Nothobranchius furzeri: one gene and its partners. The protein of the gene in region 1 interacts with the protein of each later gene in a biochemical or structural test. Links are inferred from orthologs where the notes say so. Each region holds a gene or a part of one and is shown in the gene's direction. Other genes may lie near its edges.

Region 1 (5,198 bases):
TGTTTACCCCCCAACTGGAGGGCACTTGGGCTGAAAAAGGCTCTTCAAAGCAACCTGGCCCTATGAGCAAAACATGATTGACTCCTGATTAAAACAACTGCAATCAAGCTTTTGTGATCATGGGTGATGAATTGTTTTGATGCAGTGGAGTGGAGCTGTTCAGGCGTTCTTCAGAAATTTCCGGTAGTGAGCAGAATTTTGCTTGTATGATTTTTTTCACAGCTCTTAAGTAAGATTACTTTTAATCAAATTTATGATGAGCACCCCCCCGGATAATCCTAAACCCTCCAACTCGAAGGCTCCAAGTATGACCTATTTTAACCTATTTTGTCCTACATCATTTTACATTCAGTGTTGCAGCAAGTAGACTCGCACAAGGCCTCTGCACAGAAAATAAATATTAAAATGAAAGTAAAATATCAGTATTAAAATGAGATATACAATTACAACAATATACAATCAAAACATGAAGTGAGTCGGATAACAGTTCAGTCTTACAGGACTATGCTTTAGCATATTTCTGACTCAAACGTGCCAAATCCCATACAGCAGCTGAATGCACCATTTAAACAAGTTGAATCAGATCTCTGTACTATTTTAGACTTTTTGCTGCTGGCATGTCTTATAAAGACTTTATTGAAACAGTTTAGTAGCAACAAGAATGGTAACTAACAATCTTCCATTTCAGTTTTCCACAATTCTCAGAATATTGTACATTTCCTATTTATTCTGAGTGGTTTGCCTTTTGAACTAAAGACTCTTTATTTTTTTAACCACTCATATCTTTGAGTTTTCTATTTTTCTATCACTTTCAGCAAATTGTTTAACCAGTGACACATTAATGCCTTTGTTTTTTACAGCAAAAGTAGTAATAGTGGTACTTGTGCCGCAGCACTGACCCATGGGTTTAGGGGTTTGTCTTCAGACACAATGCATTTTTACTTTTAATGCAAAGATCAGAACTTTGCTTTTGACTCTACGTTTACTGGTTATACTGCTATTTTGTATTTAGTTCATCATTTTCTTTTGCTGTAATTGCAGAGCTGTGAGGCTGTCAGTGGACCAGGCTCCAGGTTTAAGGGTAAACACTCCCTTGACAGTGACGAAGAGGATGATGGAGAGGACACAAACAACAGCAAATACAATATTCTTGACAATGATGATGTGGAGGGTATGTCTTGTTAAGTATTTCCATTATACTTTTGAAGTTGTAAACTGGGTCCAGTTTTCCTTAGGCTGTGTGAAGCAATGTTTTTTGTTAAATGCTTTTTGTGGTGAATTGGGGTGGTGCCACCTTTGTTTCCAGGCCAAGAAGGAGCGACTATTGACTTTGACGAAGGAGTTTCTATTACACCTTTCAACCTGGAAGAGGAGATGCAGGAAGGCCACTTTGATTCAGAGGGAAACTATTTCATCAAAAAGGAAACACAAATTAGAGACAACTGGCTCGACAACATAGACTGGGTAATTGCATTCTCAGACAAATGATTATTTAATGGAAGCTCTGCATTTTGCAGTAAGTGAAGTATCTGTTTTCTTGCAGGTGAAAATAAAAGAGCAGCCTATTAAGAAAAAGAAAGGTCTTGCAGCCAAACGGAAACGCAGAGTCGGTGATGAAGATGAGGCAGAGGAAGAGAAACGAAGGGAAGAACAGCAGGCAAACCAGGAGGATGAAGAGGAGGAGGAGATGCCTGCAGAGGACCCGTTGGCTGCCTACACTCAACAGCAGCTTGTTGAAGCTGTTGTTGAACTGCTGCAGCCTGGAGAAACGGTCGCCGCGGCGCTCCGTCGGTTAGGAGGCCTTGGAGGGCGCAAGAAGGGAAAGCTGAGAGAAGAAAACCAGTCCACAGAGGAAGCTTCAAGAGACACGGAAAAGCTGGATAGGCTCACAGCTTTAGCTGACAGGCTGGTTGGATCTGGGATGTTTGAAATCTATCAGCAGAGCTATGAAAAACTGGCCTACGTGATGAAAAGCATGACCAGCAAGAAGCCAGCAGTGAGGCAGACGAAAAGTGACGATGAGGAAGAAGATGAGCTTGACATGTTTGGTGATAAGTTTGATGAGAAGATTGGTGAGAAAGAAGAGGATGACAACCAAGGTTCTTTCCTTCATGCTTATAAATGATTAAGTTCAGAAGAAGGTTACTTACCTCGATTCCCCTTTTTCTTCTCAGTGAGTGATGAAGTGATGTGGGAATACAAATGGGAAAATGAGGAAAAATCTGAGGTCTATGGGCCATTCACCAGCCAGCAGATGCAGGTATTACTACTATTTTAGCTCTGACGTGTTAAATGCCCAACTTCCAAACTGATGTGGATTAAGAGGGTTTTCCTTTTTATTACGAATGTAGATTCTTGTGTGTCTGTGAGGAATTCAGAACACTTACCGGGCTTTTCCACCTGACACATTAGCATCACATAACGTCTGCAAAGCACCCTGCAACGTCCGCGAAGTGTAGTACACAGCAAATAGCCGCCGTCACAGTGGGTGCGTTTCCACCGACTGCTTAGCGCCAACGTTTTTGAGGCATCCCAGAAGCGTAGTGACGCGTTGCTCCGTTAAATTTATGCTTCCATTCTTATTTTTGTTAGCACTGTGCTTTCGTGCTGTGCTTTCATGACATGTCAGTCTCAGCCATTCAGATCAGGACAAACACAGGAGCACTGGGAAACATCTGGACACTTTAAAAATAATAAAAGACACGTGCCGATTTCCAGTTGCTTGTTTAAAATAGTTGTGATGCCTCTGTAGCCGAGGTAAACCCAACACAAAACAAACCACAGGTCTTTTTCAGACAAATGCTGCCGTCTTTCCTCTTCATTGTTACTGCGTGAACTTCCAGTTCTCTGGTGATTTCGTGATCTCGTGGGTTCAGCTGTTGGTGATGTTTTTGCCGCTGTTTCATTTCTGAAACGCTCCCAGTAGGAAGGGACAAGCGACTGAGATTGGAGGTCAAATGCTTCTATTACGTTACGCGACGCTTATGCATTCAGTGGAAATTAGGGGTTAGGCAGTGAGTAGTCTGATTTTAATTTTTTATTTTTTCTTGTACATTTATATTTTAAAAGAAAACATAAGTATAACACCTCATACATTTAAATGCAATGTTTTAAACATGTATTTTATTTATTTCCCTCCTCAAAATACCAATAATTCCATCATTTAATCTAAATAATTGAATTGTTGACTGGTTGTCTCATTAACCCCAGTCTGACCTAGTGGGCTTTTATTTTCTTACTGCTGTGTTTTCAGGGCTGGGTGGATGAAGGCTATTTTAGCAGCGGCGTCTACTGCAGGAGGGTGGATCAGGACGGATCTCAGTTCTACAACTCCAGAAGAATAGACTTTGACCTCTTCACATGAATTATGTACACCATCAGATGAAAAACAGCCCTCTTGAATTTTGTCACCACTCATGTTTTACTTGGATTTTCTCTGTTTATACACCAGGGTTTGGAGGAGAATTGGTCCATTCATTTTAGCCCTGCCTTTGTTTTCTGCAGATAGTTTTTAAATAAAAGGCTTGTGTGCATCATTGCTGAAATTCTATTCTTTCTTTTTCTGAAGCAAGGACACAGCTTGTAAATGCTGATTATTCATATACACTGCAGTTTTACATTTTATTGTTGCCCTTAATAACGTGTTTACATTTAAAGTTAGAAAACATGAGCACAGGGAAATCAGGGCAATGTAAGTTATTTTCTGTCGGAATAATTTTATTACAGTATTTAGGCAGAGTTGGAAAATGCCTAATAACCAAAATAAACCATTCCCCAGTAAATATGCACATTAATTTCGTAATGTGAATTTAAATTCGTCCTTAGATGGTTTTAAGCTTGAGCTTTATGCTTTTTTAAGTTATCAGAGAGGCGATATGAAAGGAATAGTGTCCGCTTTATCAACATTGCGTTTTAAATGTGTTAAACCGTTTCCTGAATGTGTGTCAAGTTATTAAAAAAACTCGCTTATGACGCTAGATATACAAGAATTCGTGAATTTTTCCGATGCTCCTATTGGCTGGCCTCAACCAGCGACCCTGACAGACGCAACATGATTGGTCAGCTTTCAAAGAGGCGTTTCGAGTGGAAACCAACCCTGAACTGTGATTGGCTGGGCTGATTGTTAGATTTGTAAAAACGGATACATTTTCTACTCGCAGTAGGGCGCCGTCTTTTCGTCATGTTTTGTTTACGGCGGGTTTGGCTTTCACCCCCACGGTCCAGTTACAGCTTTTAGGTGAGTTTATCTAATGGTTTTTATTTGCTGTCAACGTGTTCATGCAAGCTACATAACGAGAATATTCCCACAAATCCCGTAAGCACCAAAGAACGTGTAGAGAAATGACAGTTGTGGGCTACGACTATTAACTGGAACAGAAACTGCCACACTGTGTGTCCCTGTCGGCTATACAGCCATGGAGAGCTGACGGAGTTCGGATGAAAGTCAGCTACGACAACATTTGGGACAGTTTTAACGGTTAGGTTTTTGTCTGTTGTTGTTTTTTGTCGGCGGCTCACAATAAAGGTAAATAAAAAAAATTTCTCCAGTAAGTAGACTACGCTCAGTTTTGATCCGACAGCATCTGAAAACCTCGCAGCAAATAGCTGCTATGCATTTCATTTAGATGTAACATTATAAGGTGATTATTGAGTGTTTCCCGTGGCTTGGTGAAGGTTGTAGGATTTCGGCTGAACAACTTTGGCGCTAACACGGTGCAGCCTAGAGAGGGGGTCTAATATGTGCCACTTTGGAGGAAGGACTGCAGTTGTTAAAATCACAAAAGCTTATTTTCTTGGCTAAGTTTTAACACGATGACTGTCTCCCTTAACACTGACTGCGCATTGTTCTGTTGAAATCCATATGAATGATTTTGTCCTCAATACTGTTGATTAAAATCTTAACTGTAATCTAGTTGAAGTTGCCACTAATTCTCCCTTTGAGTTTGCTTCCAGTTAAAAAAATCTAAAGTATAATTTCTCAGCAAACATTCTGAAAATCTGGTTACTTTTTTATCTGAATCAGGTCTTGGTCTTGTAGTATTTTAGTAAGTTAAGACAAAACTGTATGCACAACCAGTTGTCCTATTTTTTTCCTGTGTGTGTATGTTTCAGATGAATATGGATGAAGATGTAATTCCCCCAAACCCTGTCTGTCATTCACCTCCCCTCAGTGATTCTCCATCACTTCTACCCCATTC
Region 2 (6,652 bases), on another chromosome or scaffold:
ATTGTAGCACATCACTACCAGCGAGTGAATGTGTGTGTGTGAATGGATGAATGATGCACTGTAGCTATGGAGTCCTCTGGTTTGCGCTATACAAGTGTGGGTCATTTATCATTATTTGTAAAGCTTGTGGGGTTGATTTTTAACACAGCAGCCTTTTAGTGAGTCATATTCTGTGTCTGCTATATCAGCTAATCCCAGAAAATCATGTGAATTTAAATTTTTTAAGTAATGAAACGTCAACCAGCCCAAAGGAATGTTTCCCTTTCTCAGCAGTTATTCTAAAAACAGACAATCTAAGTATTAGCTGTGATTTTTCAATGCTTTGTTGTTGCGCCAAGGTTATTGGATCAGGATTTAACAGCTCTGGATGGATGTTTGTAAAAGGATGCCCTGGTAATTAACTGCTACTCTTTCCCCGTCAGAATAAAACATGGTCTTTAATCAGCAAGATGGAAAACTGAGGCTTTTTGTGAGTTTGAAATCAAACATTTTTAGCAAGCAGACGACTTTCATATTGTGTTAAAATAATATTCCCATGTCCTAGTGTGGTTTTTTTGCCCATGTTGCCACACTTGATCTAATGAGCTAAAATGAACTGACAGTGGGGTCTGAGCAGTGTGAAACATGTTTCTTTGTGTGTATGAATGTGTGTTTGTGCATGAAGCACACAGCAGATCAATAAAAATGTCTACTTGACACGTTTCCTCCAGCGTTTCTGTTGAGCAAAGAGCCGCTTTCGCTCTGGAAACCAACAACAAACGGGATACGCTGCTGTTTGCTAGAATATCTGCTTCTCTTTATATATTTCTACATGCTGCTTTACACCTACACCGCCATAATCACCATTATATGTGAGCAATTGTGCAGCTTTCCATGCAGCATATAATTGCATCATAAATTAAAGTGTTTTTTGTTCAATTTAGAGTGGTTTCTTTTAATTTCTCAAGTCTGAATACATTTCTGCACAAATGAGGTGATTAGTCTTTGTTAAAAAGTTGGACAGTTCATTGGATGGTTGTCTTTCAGCTCTTTTGTACAAAGATGCTTGGTGACGATCCATTTATTTCCTTGTTTGTGCATCAGTCACAGTCTGAATGGACCATAACACATATTAAATGTGCTAATAGAAAATGACACGTTGTATCTATGCATTAGTATTGTATTATCTAGGCCATATTTGTGCCTTTATCATGATGCAAATTAATCTGAAGCAGAAAGTTTCCAGCTCACTGCTGTATTCACCAGAAACACTGCCAACAATTTTATGGCAGCGAATCAACGGAAATTATGACAGTATGATCTCTGGCAACGCCACGGTCCCTCAGCCATCCCTCACAGAAACGTGCTTTCTTCTGCTGCCACACACACATGCATGCACACACACATTTCAATCAGCCAAGATGGCAGTTTGAAAAGTTTCTGTGTGTGCGTTTGTGTGTGAGGTAGTAAGAGGGCTAATTGTGTCTTTGGAAACAAAATTTTTAAAATAAAACCACCATTGTTTATGTGAAACACACATCATTTTGGCTTCTGGAGCACAGCACAGCAGAATACAATTATTTCATTTTATTAAAATTATTCAGGGTGTATGCATCATGCACATGGGGGAAAAATGTGGTGTTAATATTGGCCTGTATCAGGAATGACTTTCCATTTATCATCCTGACATCGACCTTGATCAGCTATCTGTAGGTCAGCTTTGAGATAAACACACACATGATATGTGGCTCTTTCCTTTAGTCATATATAAATGTGCATTTTATTGTGTTCTAATTATTCAATCAAAACAAAATCATCATTTAAAGACTCACAAGGACATAAAACACACTGATGGGAGGAAATGCAGTTTGAATTAAGCTTCATATTTAAATCTGTCCTTGTACATGTGAACCACCTAGCATCTAATCCATCTGACGGTCAATTTTCTTCCCTAACATCCTCTCCCACGGGTAAAATAACACCATCCCTTCAGGCGATGTAAATGAAGAAAGATGTAGAGGCTGGATCCCAGGCTAGGAGTGAAGACGGCTGAAGTTAATGCGATTGAAACTAATTGATGAATGGTTTCACATCATCTCATGAGATAGATCCCAAAAATGTCATGTTAGCATGTAATTACTTATTGCACTCTGGCATCTCTGTTTGAGTGTAGGTTTCTGAACCTGAAATGTCAGATGAGTTATTGATGTAGCATGTTGGCATGTGTCTAATGGGAATTAATGGAAATCATCACAAATGCATGGCTCATTTGACCTAAAACTATGTACATTACAAGCAATATAATATATGTGCAGTCAGACAGGCAAGGAGTGAAAATATTGTATTCAATTTTCAAACAGCATAAAAAATGATGTATTTCTTTCAATTTGGCAACCTAATTATCTGTGGGATCAAATGTCATCTGAGTCATCCTTGTCTTAATTAGGGCTGCAGGTCCATTAGTTGTTTCTGTAAACAATGTCTAGGTAATAATTTTTTACTAAACAAACTAGAGAGGAAATGACAACAGTATGTATGAGTATTTATCTTACTCTACCCTACCTCCACTTCAAACTCTAACCCAGGACTGCCAACGTAGGAGTGAGACAGCTTTTCTTTTTTTTTTTTTTTTTTTTTTTTTTAATGAACCAGATACTGATGAGGCATTCTGCATTAGGCCAGTCAAAAATGACCGTTCTCAGTTTTGCACAACTTGAGGTGGTTCATTTAGGATGGATGAAGATACTATGATTTATCTAGTTTTTCTTTTTATATCTTAAAATTGAGTATAAATAAATATCACGTGTGTGTGTGTGTGTGTGTGTGTGTGTGTGTGTGTGTGTGTGTGTGTGTTTATGTTGTATATAAACATTGTATATATGCATGTATATAAGTATATATTTTTCCCTCATTGTACTATTTTAGACAATTGTGTTTTGGTGTTTAGAGTAGCATATCCTAAAAGATAAATACTATTTACTCAGTTTAACTTTATTCCATCTAATTGTATTTTTATTTTATTTTCTACAGTTTGGCGCACCCGTGTGGCAAACTTTAGCGGTCAATCAATCAGCCCGTCCTGTTGGGGGCGCTGTAACAGAAAACAAGAAAAAGGAAGGAGTCGAGAGCGGAAGTTAAACTGTTGTTCATCTGCTAGTGAGTGTGCACGTCGTTGCAGCAACGATGGCTACCTCTGGAGCAAAACAAACACCTAAACTTGTCTCCAAAACCAGCGCGGGGGGCACAGGGGCGAGTGGCGCGCCCCCTGTAATACCTCTTGCCTCTCCGCTTATGGGGAAAAAGAAGAAGCCGTTTCTGGGGATGCCCGCTCCGCTAGGTTACGTTCCTGGTCTCGGCAGAGGGTAAGCTAATTTGATGCTAAGTCGTTAGCTCCTCCAGTTGCGTGTTTGTTGACAACTTGAATTGTCCACCTTCTGCATGCAGTGTCAAATAAAACAACATTTTAAATACATTATAACAATGGTTTGTGCTGTTTGCAACAAAGGACAAATCTCCGATCTTAAGGGTTATGTTGCGGTTTCAGTGCCACAGGATTCACCACCCGGTCCGACATCGGTCCTGCTCGGGATGCCAACGACCCCGTGGATGATCGGCATGCTCCCCCAGGGAAGAGGACGGTTGGTGACCAGATGAAGAAGAATCAGGATGATGATGACGAAGATCTAAACGACACCAACTATGACGAGGTCTCAATAACTAAATGCTTTTGTTGGCATTTAATACTTCAGTGCATCCAGTCAATAACTCCTGTTTGCTCCTTGTACAGTTTAATGGTTACGCTGGCAGCTTGTTCTCCAGTGGGCCTTATGAAAAGGACGATGAAGAAGCAGATGCTATATATGCGGCACTTGACAAGAGAATGGATGAACGGCGCAAAGAAAGAAGGTAAACTATAAAACTAATCTACCTCTTGACCAAAAAAGACCAAACACCTACAAAATAAGTGCACAGAGCATCCCTTTTTCATCCCTGTGTTGATTTAATGTGTTTCTGATACTGTCTGTGGTTGCTCGTAGGGAGCTGAGAGAAAAGGAAGAAATAGAAAAATATCGTATGGAGCGTCCTAAAATCCAACAGCAGTTCTCAGATCTGAAGGTAAGTTTTCCACATTTATTCTATTGTATTCACGATGCCATTATTTTTAGGTATCTATCTTTAATGCATTTTGTGCAGGTTAACAGCTGACTCTGCATACTGATTTGTTTGCATTCATGTTTTTGTGCTTTTAAACAAATTTGTGATCTTATTTGCCATTTGTGAAATGGTAATGCAAAGGCACATGAAATTACAATTATTAATCTCTCTTAGGATCAGACACGCATCTCTGTTTTATCATTTAATTACAGAGAAAACTAGCAGAGGTGTCGGAGGAGGAGTGGCTGAGCATCCCTGAAGTTGGAGATGCCAGGAACAAGCGACAGAGGAATCCTCGCTTTGAGAAGCTCACCCCGGTCCCTGACAGCTTCTTCTCTAAACACCTGCAGACCGGAGAAAACCACACATCTGTTGATCCGTTACAAGGGGTTAGTAGTCATGAAAACACACTACAAGCAGGTCACCGAACATTTGTTGTAGTTTCACCTTGCCCCAGCAGGAGTCAGAATAACTGTTCAGAGATGTGCAGCCATGCATTATATTGTCAGTAAATATCTGCTTAAGAGCATCAACCTCATGTTTAAACTTGAAACTATTCATTTATCTACTTGATTTCATGCATGCAATGTTTAAATACTTTAACTGGAAACAGCAGTGTTTACTTAGACAGAGCTGGCTCCATGTTTAGTTCTGCAGAATATAAAGCATCTTTTACGTGTGTCAGTTATAGCTGTGAGAAAGGATTCAGCTTTCTTTAGCTGTTCACACACGCTGTAACACAATTCCTGCTTTCTGTCTTGGTAGCTGGGCGGTCTGAACACACCATACCCAGGCAGCATGACTCCTGGAACTGGAGACTTGGATATGAGGAAAATCGGTCAAGCCAGAAACACTCTCATGGATATGAGGCTCAGTCAGGTAGACCTATCTAAATCCTGAGCTTCTTTCACATTTATCAAGATTTTACCTGTTTTTATTGTTTTTCTCTCCACTAAGGTGTCTGATTCAGTCAGTGGACAGACAGTGGTGGATCCTAAGGGTTACCTGACAGATCTCAACTCCATGATCCCCACTTATGGAGGAGACATCAGGTATAGAAAAGTTGCCCATAGGAAAATTTCCTTTTGAAATAACTTCTTATGTGTGTTTGATGAATTACACCTAAATCTCACCCAGCGACATCAAGAAGGCTCGCCTGCTGTTGAAATCTGTGAGAGAGACTAATCCCCATCACCCGCCGGCCTGGATTGCTTCTGCCAGGCTTGAAGAGGTGACGGGCAAGCTGCAGGTCGCCAGGAACTTGATCATGAAGGGCACAGAGATGTGTCCTAAGGTAAAAGGGGTGTCTGCTTTGGTTCCATGCACAAAGGCTAGATGCTGATAACCTTCAATAACAAAATATCTCTCTCTTAACCAGAGTGAGGACGTGTGGCTAGAGGCAGCAAGGCTCCAACCTGGTGATACGGCTAAAGCTGTGGTTGCTCAGGCTGTTCGCCACCTCCCACAGTCTGTCCGCATCTACATCAGGGCTGCTGAGCTCGAAACAGACATCCGTGCTAAGAAGAGGGTCCTCAGAAAGGGTAAGGCTTTTAATTTTGCTTTCTCTGTCTGCAACTATCATCAGAAGCTTCTCACTGCTTTGTGGTTATAAACGGAGGTTCACGTTCCTTCCCAGCAGCTCGTGTGTGAATGAGTTTGATTCTGCTGCGAAAAGGACGACACTCATTTCTCCAGGGCTGAAATTCAAAGCCAGTCTCAATCTGTTGATTGTCTCATGAAATCACCCTCACAAAGCTATCGGAGTTACACTTGGCTGCTGTGTTTCTGGCTCCTTGTCAAGGCCAGGCTCTGTGCTTAACCAGGGTGTCAGTGCCCCGACACACACATGCACACACAGGCTCACGCGTACCAATATTTCCCAGCAGCATACCCGACTGACAGAGATGGATGGAAGTTTCCTCTTGAGGAAGAGCCCTCTCCGCCTCTACTTGTTCAAACGCCTCTGCTCTGCTTTACTTAATTGCACAAAAAACACACCGCTAACTTTATTACACTTTAATGCAAACACACCACCATCACACACACTGCATTTCATTCGTCTTGACTAAGTAATTTTCTTTTGGAAAGAGCATTCTGGGGTTTTGAAATATGTAGAACCAGAAAATATTAGTAAATTCAGAGTCACATTATTAGATGCTGCTGATTTGAGAATCGGTGCACAAATGGTGCCACTGAATAAATAACTTCCCCACTCAGGCTCTATACCATGTTTAATTGCAGATCCCAGCTGTTAATTTGTTATTCCTGAGGCGTTTAGGCTAGTAAAACTGTTAAAGGCTAAAGGATTCTGCTTCTGACTGATGATTCTGGACCCAAGCAATGTGAAGATTGCGTTAGGTTTATTGTAAACTGTGTTTGTACGGCCTGTTAGGATTGTTAGATTGGTAAAATAGTTCCAGTGCTGTTTTTGTTTTTTAAGAGCAAAGTGTTGCAGGTCTCCTACAGCTCAGGAACAATTGTCATGACAGCAGTCGGTGTTTACATTAGGGCTGCAACT
Region 3 (6,709 bases), on another chromosome or scaffold:
CGTTTGGCTCTACAACGTACAGCGGATCATAATCGTAGGATTGCGGATCAACACCGGCGTCCAGCCCCTGCCTACGCCCCAGGAGACTTGGTTTGGCTCTCCTCCCGTGATATCAAGCTCCGGGACTCCTCCAGGAAGTTCTCTCCCCGTTACCTTGGTGCTTTCCCCATCGCAGCTGTTCTCAGTCCTGTCTCTGACCGCCTGACCATACCCCCGTCTATGAAGGTACACTATGTGTTTCATGTCTCGTTGCTCAAACCCGTTGTCTCCAGCCCCCTGTGTCCTCCTTCCGACCCTCCTCCGCTGGTCCGCCTTGCTGATCGTGGTCTCGGCTACAGGGTCCATCGCATCTTGGATGTCCGGCCACGTGGTCATCAGTTCCTTGTGGACTGGGAGGGGTATGGCCCAGAACACCGTCAATTGGGCCATTCCCATCTGTACCGGGTCGGCCCGGGCCGGGTAGCCCCAGTCGGCCCCAGCCTGGCCCGGTTGATTCCACACATCCTTGTCTTAAGCCCATGTGGGCTGATTCTACCCACCAATCAGAGGCTTGCTCTAATGGAAGGTGTGAATTTGCTGTCAGCAGTGGGTGTGTTGGCCCTGGTCGGCCTGAAGCAGACCCCCTCGAGAAGAGGGCTGAGAATGAGCCTTGGTTGGCCCGGAAAAATACCAGGCCACCCAGATATGTAAATAACCTACGCTACCCGGCCCGGGCCGACCCGGTACAGATGGGAATGGCCCAAATGGGTCCCGAGGTCCTGGATAGATGGCGTCTCCCTCATCTGGGACTTCGAGGCCTCCTGTTCTGCCTCCTCCTCCGTCTCCTCTGCTAGGCTGCCAGGTGGCATCCCTTGGGGGGGGGGGGGGGGGGGGGGTTACTGTACCAGCCTGCCCTGCTCACTATTCATTTCATTTAATACCCTGCAGTTGTCCCAGTTCTGTGTTAACAGGTGGGTGTGTCGGAGAGCCAGCTGTTCCTGATCTCCCTGATCAGAGGGCCAGGGGTACTTAAGGAGTGGTGTGATGCAACTCCAGTGCCAGTTGATACTCGCATCTTGGGTAAACACTAGCCAGTCGCAGTCTCATTTGAATTTTAATCAGTTTTAATCTTGTCTGCCCGTTCCAGTTCAGCCCTTATCTACTGAGTCCTGAAGGTTCCTGCTCGTCTGTTCACAGGAATCACCCACCGCCATCTGGAGTTGTTAATCCAACCTCACGTCGCTCACTGTCCTCCTGGTCTCCTCACTCTCCACCGCCCGCCTGTCGTCCTGCCCGCTTCCCAGCCTGCCTAACCACCAGCCTCCGGATCTGCATCATAACCTGCCTCACTGTCTGTCTCGCAACCTGTTTCCTCATCCCGTCCTGGATCCTCACTCTCTGCTGTTTGTCTGTCCCCACCTGGCCCCCAAAGACCCAGCCCTGCCTCACCAAAACTGATCATCTCCAGTAAGAATAACACTCCAAACAATTCTAGTTCTGGTTCTCTGGTTCCAGGGTTTCATGATTCTAACACCAGTTTGCTTTCTCATTCTAGATCTCGGTCCCTCCTGTTCCCATTTGGAGCAGCGTTTTCAGTTTCACATCGTTCTTAATAAATATTATTTGTTATTCACTTACCATCATTTCCGTCTGTGATTCTTTCATGTCCTGGGTAAAACATATTCCCAACATGACAGACAGCTAATTAAACTAAAACCAAGACAGCCATTTAGACATAAATTAGATTTACATACACTCTTTAGTTTTATAGAACCCTATAAAAAAATTGATTATGCTCTCGCACTCAACCTAACGCGCAAAATGGCTTAGCGGGACACATTGATCACAAATATGTTGTGTTTCGGAAACAAAAGCGGTAATTTCAACAAGTGCAAGTATCCCGTGTCAAGTGTATGTATCATACGGTTTGTAATAAGGCAAACCGTTTGTAAATGCATTAATATTTCATTGAGTTATAAGTATCTTTAGTTGAGCCGCACACTCACCTTCCAGCTAGAGAACGGTTAGCTGTCCGAAGTCAGATGGCCGCTGTGTAAGGACGCTGTCGACTCCCAGTTAGGGCATCTATATGACATCTATGACGGCGACTGGAGGTGAGCTCAAGTCGCCATTTTGCTGCAACCAGGTCCTTTTTATTTATTTATTTTTAACAAACCTTAATATGCAGTCAGAACATTACACTAATTACAAGTGATATTAAAAAAAAACATACATTTAACAGCTAGAACACATCCAGTCAGCTGAGATTTATAGAGGAGCCTATATTCACTCTTTTGATTGCTTTTGCATTGTGAGAATGTTGAATGGATAATAGATTTTGTTTTGTTTCACAGAGAAATTGCTGAAAACAAGGTTTTGCATTAGAACATTTTGTCTTATGAATTTGAAATTTAGCCAGCAATATTAATAAATTGGTTATCTAAAATTGGTCTGCTTTATTCACTGGGTAGTAGTAGAAACCTAATATCAACTTTTCCTTAGAGAGTGAAAAATCTTGAATAAAATACGTTATTACAAAAATATTAAATTCTTGTAAGAACTGACCAGAGAATGGACAAGACCAGATTAGATGTAGAACATCTTCATCTTGGAGGTTACAAAATAAACAGTCATTCATTTCCTTTTTTCGTCTTTTCAAAAAGGATTTTGTAGGATAGAAACGATGAATAATCTTGAAAGAAATCTTTTTTACTTTGTCAGTAGAAACTAGTTGGTAGAGTCCCAATCCTTCCCCAGTCCAGGTCATAAAACCAGTTGTTTCAGTGTACAGTAGTTAGAAGTACAGTATGAGTCTTTAGAAACAGAGATCTTATATCACGATTGTTTTTTGCAGCCCGGTCCTCTTGCTCCTACTTGGTTTCCAAAAATGTAGACCATAATACCCCTTGGCTGGCATTCTCTTTTCGGAACACCTGTTAAGTTATGCCCCACCAAAAAAAAAAAAAAAAAAAAACTCACCAGCTGCCACTGATGTTTACAGTCACGCATTGTCTCATGGAGAATACATTTCAAAGGTTTATAGTTCTAATTTAATGTAAACAATTACTTTTATAGATGTATTTTATTCATCCGTCTTACAGGTGAAAGAACCAGAACAGGATCCCGTTTACTTTGAAAGCCGCTGGTAAGCAAATGAGTCAAACATGACCCGGATGTGCACCTTTATTTTGAAAGGTTTTCAATAACGAAGGCACGCGTGTCGTCGTCGCGCGCGTCGATTTGTTTCGGTGTGTCAAGAAGCAGCAGGAAGTCAGACGCGGCTCTGGATCTCAGCCTGGGTGAGTTGGGTCATCAGAACCGTGAAGCAGGCGGGGTTTGGTGAGACTGGACCGGGTTGTGACTGAAACCGTGACTCGGCTGAACGTTTCCTGGAGAAATAAGTTAGAAAAGTGACATTCTGTTGTCGCACTTCCGCAACCGCGGCTCTTTCAACGGTTGTCATAAAAGCAGACTTATGTGGACCGGAACCAAATCAGAACCTTCAACCCGTCCGCGTTTATTGAAATCGTAGGATGTCCAAGAAAGGTCAGCTGTGACGTAATAAATCTTGTTTATGACGCTGTTGGACTAACTTTACATCAGTAGAAAACACCTGGAATGAGGTAAAACTGCCTCCTGTTGCCCTGCTTTGGCAGACTTCTGCAGGCACAGAAGCATTAGGTCACGAACCGGATTGTTCAAACATTAAGACATTACAGGAATTAAAATGGATTCTCAGTGACGTAAATGCTTTTCAGGAAATGTAATTTTAAATGTGTTTTTCTTTATTGTGATTCGCTGTAATATTGTATGATATATTTGAGTGACCACGTGGAACCATTTGGGTTATTATTCTGTTCCCACCGGTCATGTAGAACGGTAAACAAACCAGATGTTTGAGACGCAGGTGCGCTGGACCAGGAGCAAGTAATGCTGAGCGAAGTGGTCGGAAAACGACAAATTTAGGTAGAGCTGCTCAGTTATGGCAAAAATGATGATCACAATTATTTAGACTGACACTGAGATCTCAATCATTTAAGACGATTTTAAAGATTAATGTTTATTTTATTTATTTATTCTATCATAAAATGAACAGGACACAGTCAGGAAAAAATAAATAAGAAAAAGAAAAACAAGACGATCACAACAACTCTTGTTTCTTAGTATAAAAAAGCCAAACACTCACTCGTAGTTTATGGCCGAAGGGGTTTAGACTGATGTTTAAGCCTACCCAATACGAAACCAATTTGTTAAAATATTTTGCAAAAACTGACCGCAAGAGTTGTACAGTGCATTTATAAAAACAACCTCAATGAGCAGGCCTTTTTACATGACTTGGCAAAAGAACGATGACATAGAGTTAGCCTCGTTCCTACTGTTGAGGATGCTTGGTCACATTTAAAAACTCCATTATCTCCATTTTAGATTATATAAAGGCAGAGTTAAAAATGTTTCAGAACCAAGCATCAATCCTGGCAGATATCCATGAATATCTGCGACTTGCAATCCTTCAGATCTGTAACCAGCCAATCAGAAAAGCAAAATCTGAATATTATAAGAACCCGTTTCTGATGAATAGTTCAGACCCCAAAACTAAAAGGTACATTTCTTCAATAATCACTTAATCAAGTCCGATCATGCGTTTGCAACAGCCTCACCTGTCTCTGGGGTCTCTGACTCAGCTATATACAACGATTCCCCCTATGCAACCACTTCCTGTTTCTCCATTCAGGTGTTTAAGGTAAATGAGGTACTTGACGGTAGGGTTGTCACAATGTGAAAATTAGGGCTGGGGGTAAACGATTATTTTTAAAACGATTATTCTGACGTTTATTTGATCAAATAGTCGACTATTCTAATGACTATTTAGACGATTAATCTAATGATTATTTTTTATTGCACAGTTAATAAAAACCAATTAATCTCTCATAAATTCTTCAAAAAAATTGATAAATTGTTACTGTAAGAGAATAAACACTACAGGCCTTCCATTTTGTATAACACTGCTTTTATTGTGTTGAGGTTGGTTATGTTCTGGTGACGTGTAGAACTTGGGAGTGCAGGCTGCGAGGTGGTAGAAGATGGAGTGTCTCCATGCCGCTTTGTTTTGGTCACTTATGTGCGTGAGGCGAGTGGTGTTACGACCCTTCCTGGGGAGTTTGGCTCGTGTGCAAAAAGGAAGGGACATTAACGGGATTTAAAAGTTAAAATGATGATCAGGTTTATTTACAACTACAAAAAAACATGCATCTTTCCATCCACAGGTTGGGAATAATAAAACTAATTCTGCCTGTGGGGAATTAAAACAAAAGTACAAATAACTAGGGATGTCCCACTGGGCAAAGATTACAGGGTTCTGGACCAAAATAAGGATCTCCAAAGGTCCAAACTCTAAACTGGGCGGTTAAACCAAACTTAAGGTGATATTTTAAACTAAACCGAAACCCCACAACACTCTAAATGTAATAAAAGGGAGATCTACACCACAAAAAAGATGAACTCTTAACCAAAACGTAACAGGTTATCTAAACCCAAGAAGCTGCTAGCTAAAATGCTAACAGTAGCTTTACCAACGTTAAGTTCAAGTTACCAAGTTTAAATAAACCAAAACACCCACCAAATAGACCAGCACGGAGGAGAGACTGCTAGCACCAAAACAGCTCTCCTAATGTCTGAAAGAAGCTCCTTTATGACGGGAGAAACGCTCCCGGTGATTTTCTACATCTGCGATAGAGACGGAGCAGCGCATCTGACCCTGGAAGTAAAGGAATCTAGTAGGGGCTGGACATTGTTCCGGGTCTTCGGTATTTGGTGGAGATGTTAGTGAAGGCGGAGAAGAGGGCGAACTAGAGGAAAAACAGGCAGATTCCTCCTCTATTTACAAATTCCTGGGGATGCAACAAGTGGGCGTGGTGCGTCGACTACCGGATCTGACGTCGACAAATTTTTAGAATCGAGCCGTCGACGTTATCAAGGCTTCGATACAGCCCTAGTGAAAATGTAACCTCATTGTTATTGTGACCAAAATAATCAAGGTTTTTGGTATGATCGTGGTATTATCTTTTAAACGTTAGATTTTCAGACAACTAGATAAACCCTGTATATCAGGAAAATATTCTCAGTTTGTCTAAATGTAGCCATTTGTAATTATATTAACATTTTTACCTTTTTAGTCTTTAAAATACCAACATTTGCCCATAACTTCTTATGTTTGCCTGTTTGAGGTCATCATTTTAAAAATACGAGATCGGATGATACTCAGGACTCTAGCCTTCTAATTAAATACTTTTTTTACCCTTGAGTAATTTCTTGGACAGCTACTTTTACTCAAGTAAAAGGCGTTGAAATGGTGTTGCTCTTACTTGAGTACAGTAGTTGGCTACTCTATCCAGCCCCGCCTATGTATCAGGGGCACCCAAACTGTTTCCCTCAGTGGGACAAAGTAAAAATCTATATCTCCTACTCCAATTTATTATTTCATGATGTGTTGTTGGTCGTTTCGAGGGTATTAGGTGTACCAGTTATAGTGCCAGAAACGTGTTATATTTTATGACAACTAAATAAACCATCTATATCAGAATAGTTGTCCTCAGTTTGTGTCCTTCCAGTGAGCTTTGCAGATTTGGGAAAATGTCATCAGGCAGTAATGATTGTTAAATTAATAATAATGCGGAGAGAGACCAACTCTTATCCGCTCCTGGAACCTCGTTATGCATAGCGTTATTTCAAT

The links. The genes of interacting proteins can lie anywhere in the genome.
Region 2: the proteins of cd2bp2 (region 1) and prpf6 form a complex in vitro, tested with the Homo sapiens proteins (2 studies listed by BioGRID and IntAct). The link is inferred for Nothobranchius furzeri from reciprocal best matches to the Homo sapiens genes CD2BP2 and PRPF6.
Region 3: the proteins of cd2bp2 (region 1) and lrrk1 form a complex in vitro, tested with the Homo sapiens proteins (2 studies listed by BioGRID and IntAct, with this or other methods). The link is inferred for Nothobranchius furzeri from reciprocal best matches to the Homo sapiens genes CD2BP2 and LRRK1.

Annotation. Positions count from the first base shown.
Region 1 is NC_091745.1:8,816,402-8,821,599, reverse strand, and holds the end of cd2bp2 (CD2 antigen cytoplasmic tail-binding protein 2), read left to right. Parts: intron 1-1,041; coding exon 1,042-1,171; intron 1,172-1,306; coding exon 1,307-1,464; intron 1,465-1,543; coding exon 1,544-2,099; intron 2,100-2,174; coding exon 2,175-2,260; intron 2,261-3,253; coding exon 3,254-3,364; 3' UTR 3,365-3,536; downstream 3,537-5,198. Other genes in the region: prr14 (serine-rich adhesin for platelets), read left to right, coding at 5,113-5,198. UniProt on the Homo sapiens protein: Involved in pre-mRNA splicing as component of the U5 snRNP complex that is involved in spliceosome assembly.
Region 2 is NC_091755.1:59,887,908-59,894,559, forward strand, and holds the start of prpf6 (pre-mRNA-processing factor 6), read left to right. Parts: upstream 1-3,107; 5' UTR 3,108-3,162; coding exon 3,163-3,341; intron 3,342-3,523; coding exon 3,524-3,686; intron 3,687-3,766; coding exon 3,767-3,885; intron 3,886-4,016; coding exon 4,017-4,095; intron 4,096-4,346; coding exon 4,347-4,523; intron 4,524-4,899; coding exon 4,900-5,013; intron 5,014-5,091; coding exon 5,092-5,186; intron 5,187-5,271; coding exon 5,272-5,428; intron 5,429-5,512; coding exon 5,513-5,675; intron 5,676-6,652. UniProt on the Homo sapiens protein: Involved in pre-mRNA splicing as component of the U4/U6-U5 tri-snRNP complex, one of the building blocks of the spliceosome.
Region 3 is NC_091749.1:7,094,952-7,101,660, forward strand, and holds the start of lrrk1 (leucine-rich repeat serine/threonine-protein kinase 1), read left to right. Parts: upstream 1-3,164; 5' UTR 3,165-3,278; intron 3,279-6,709.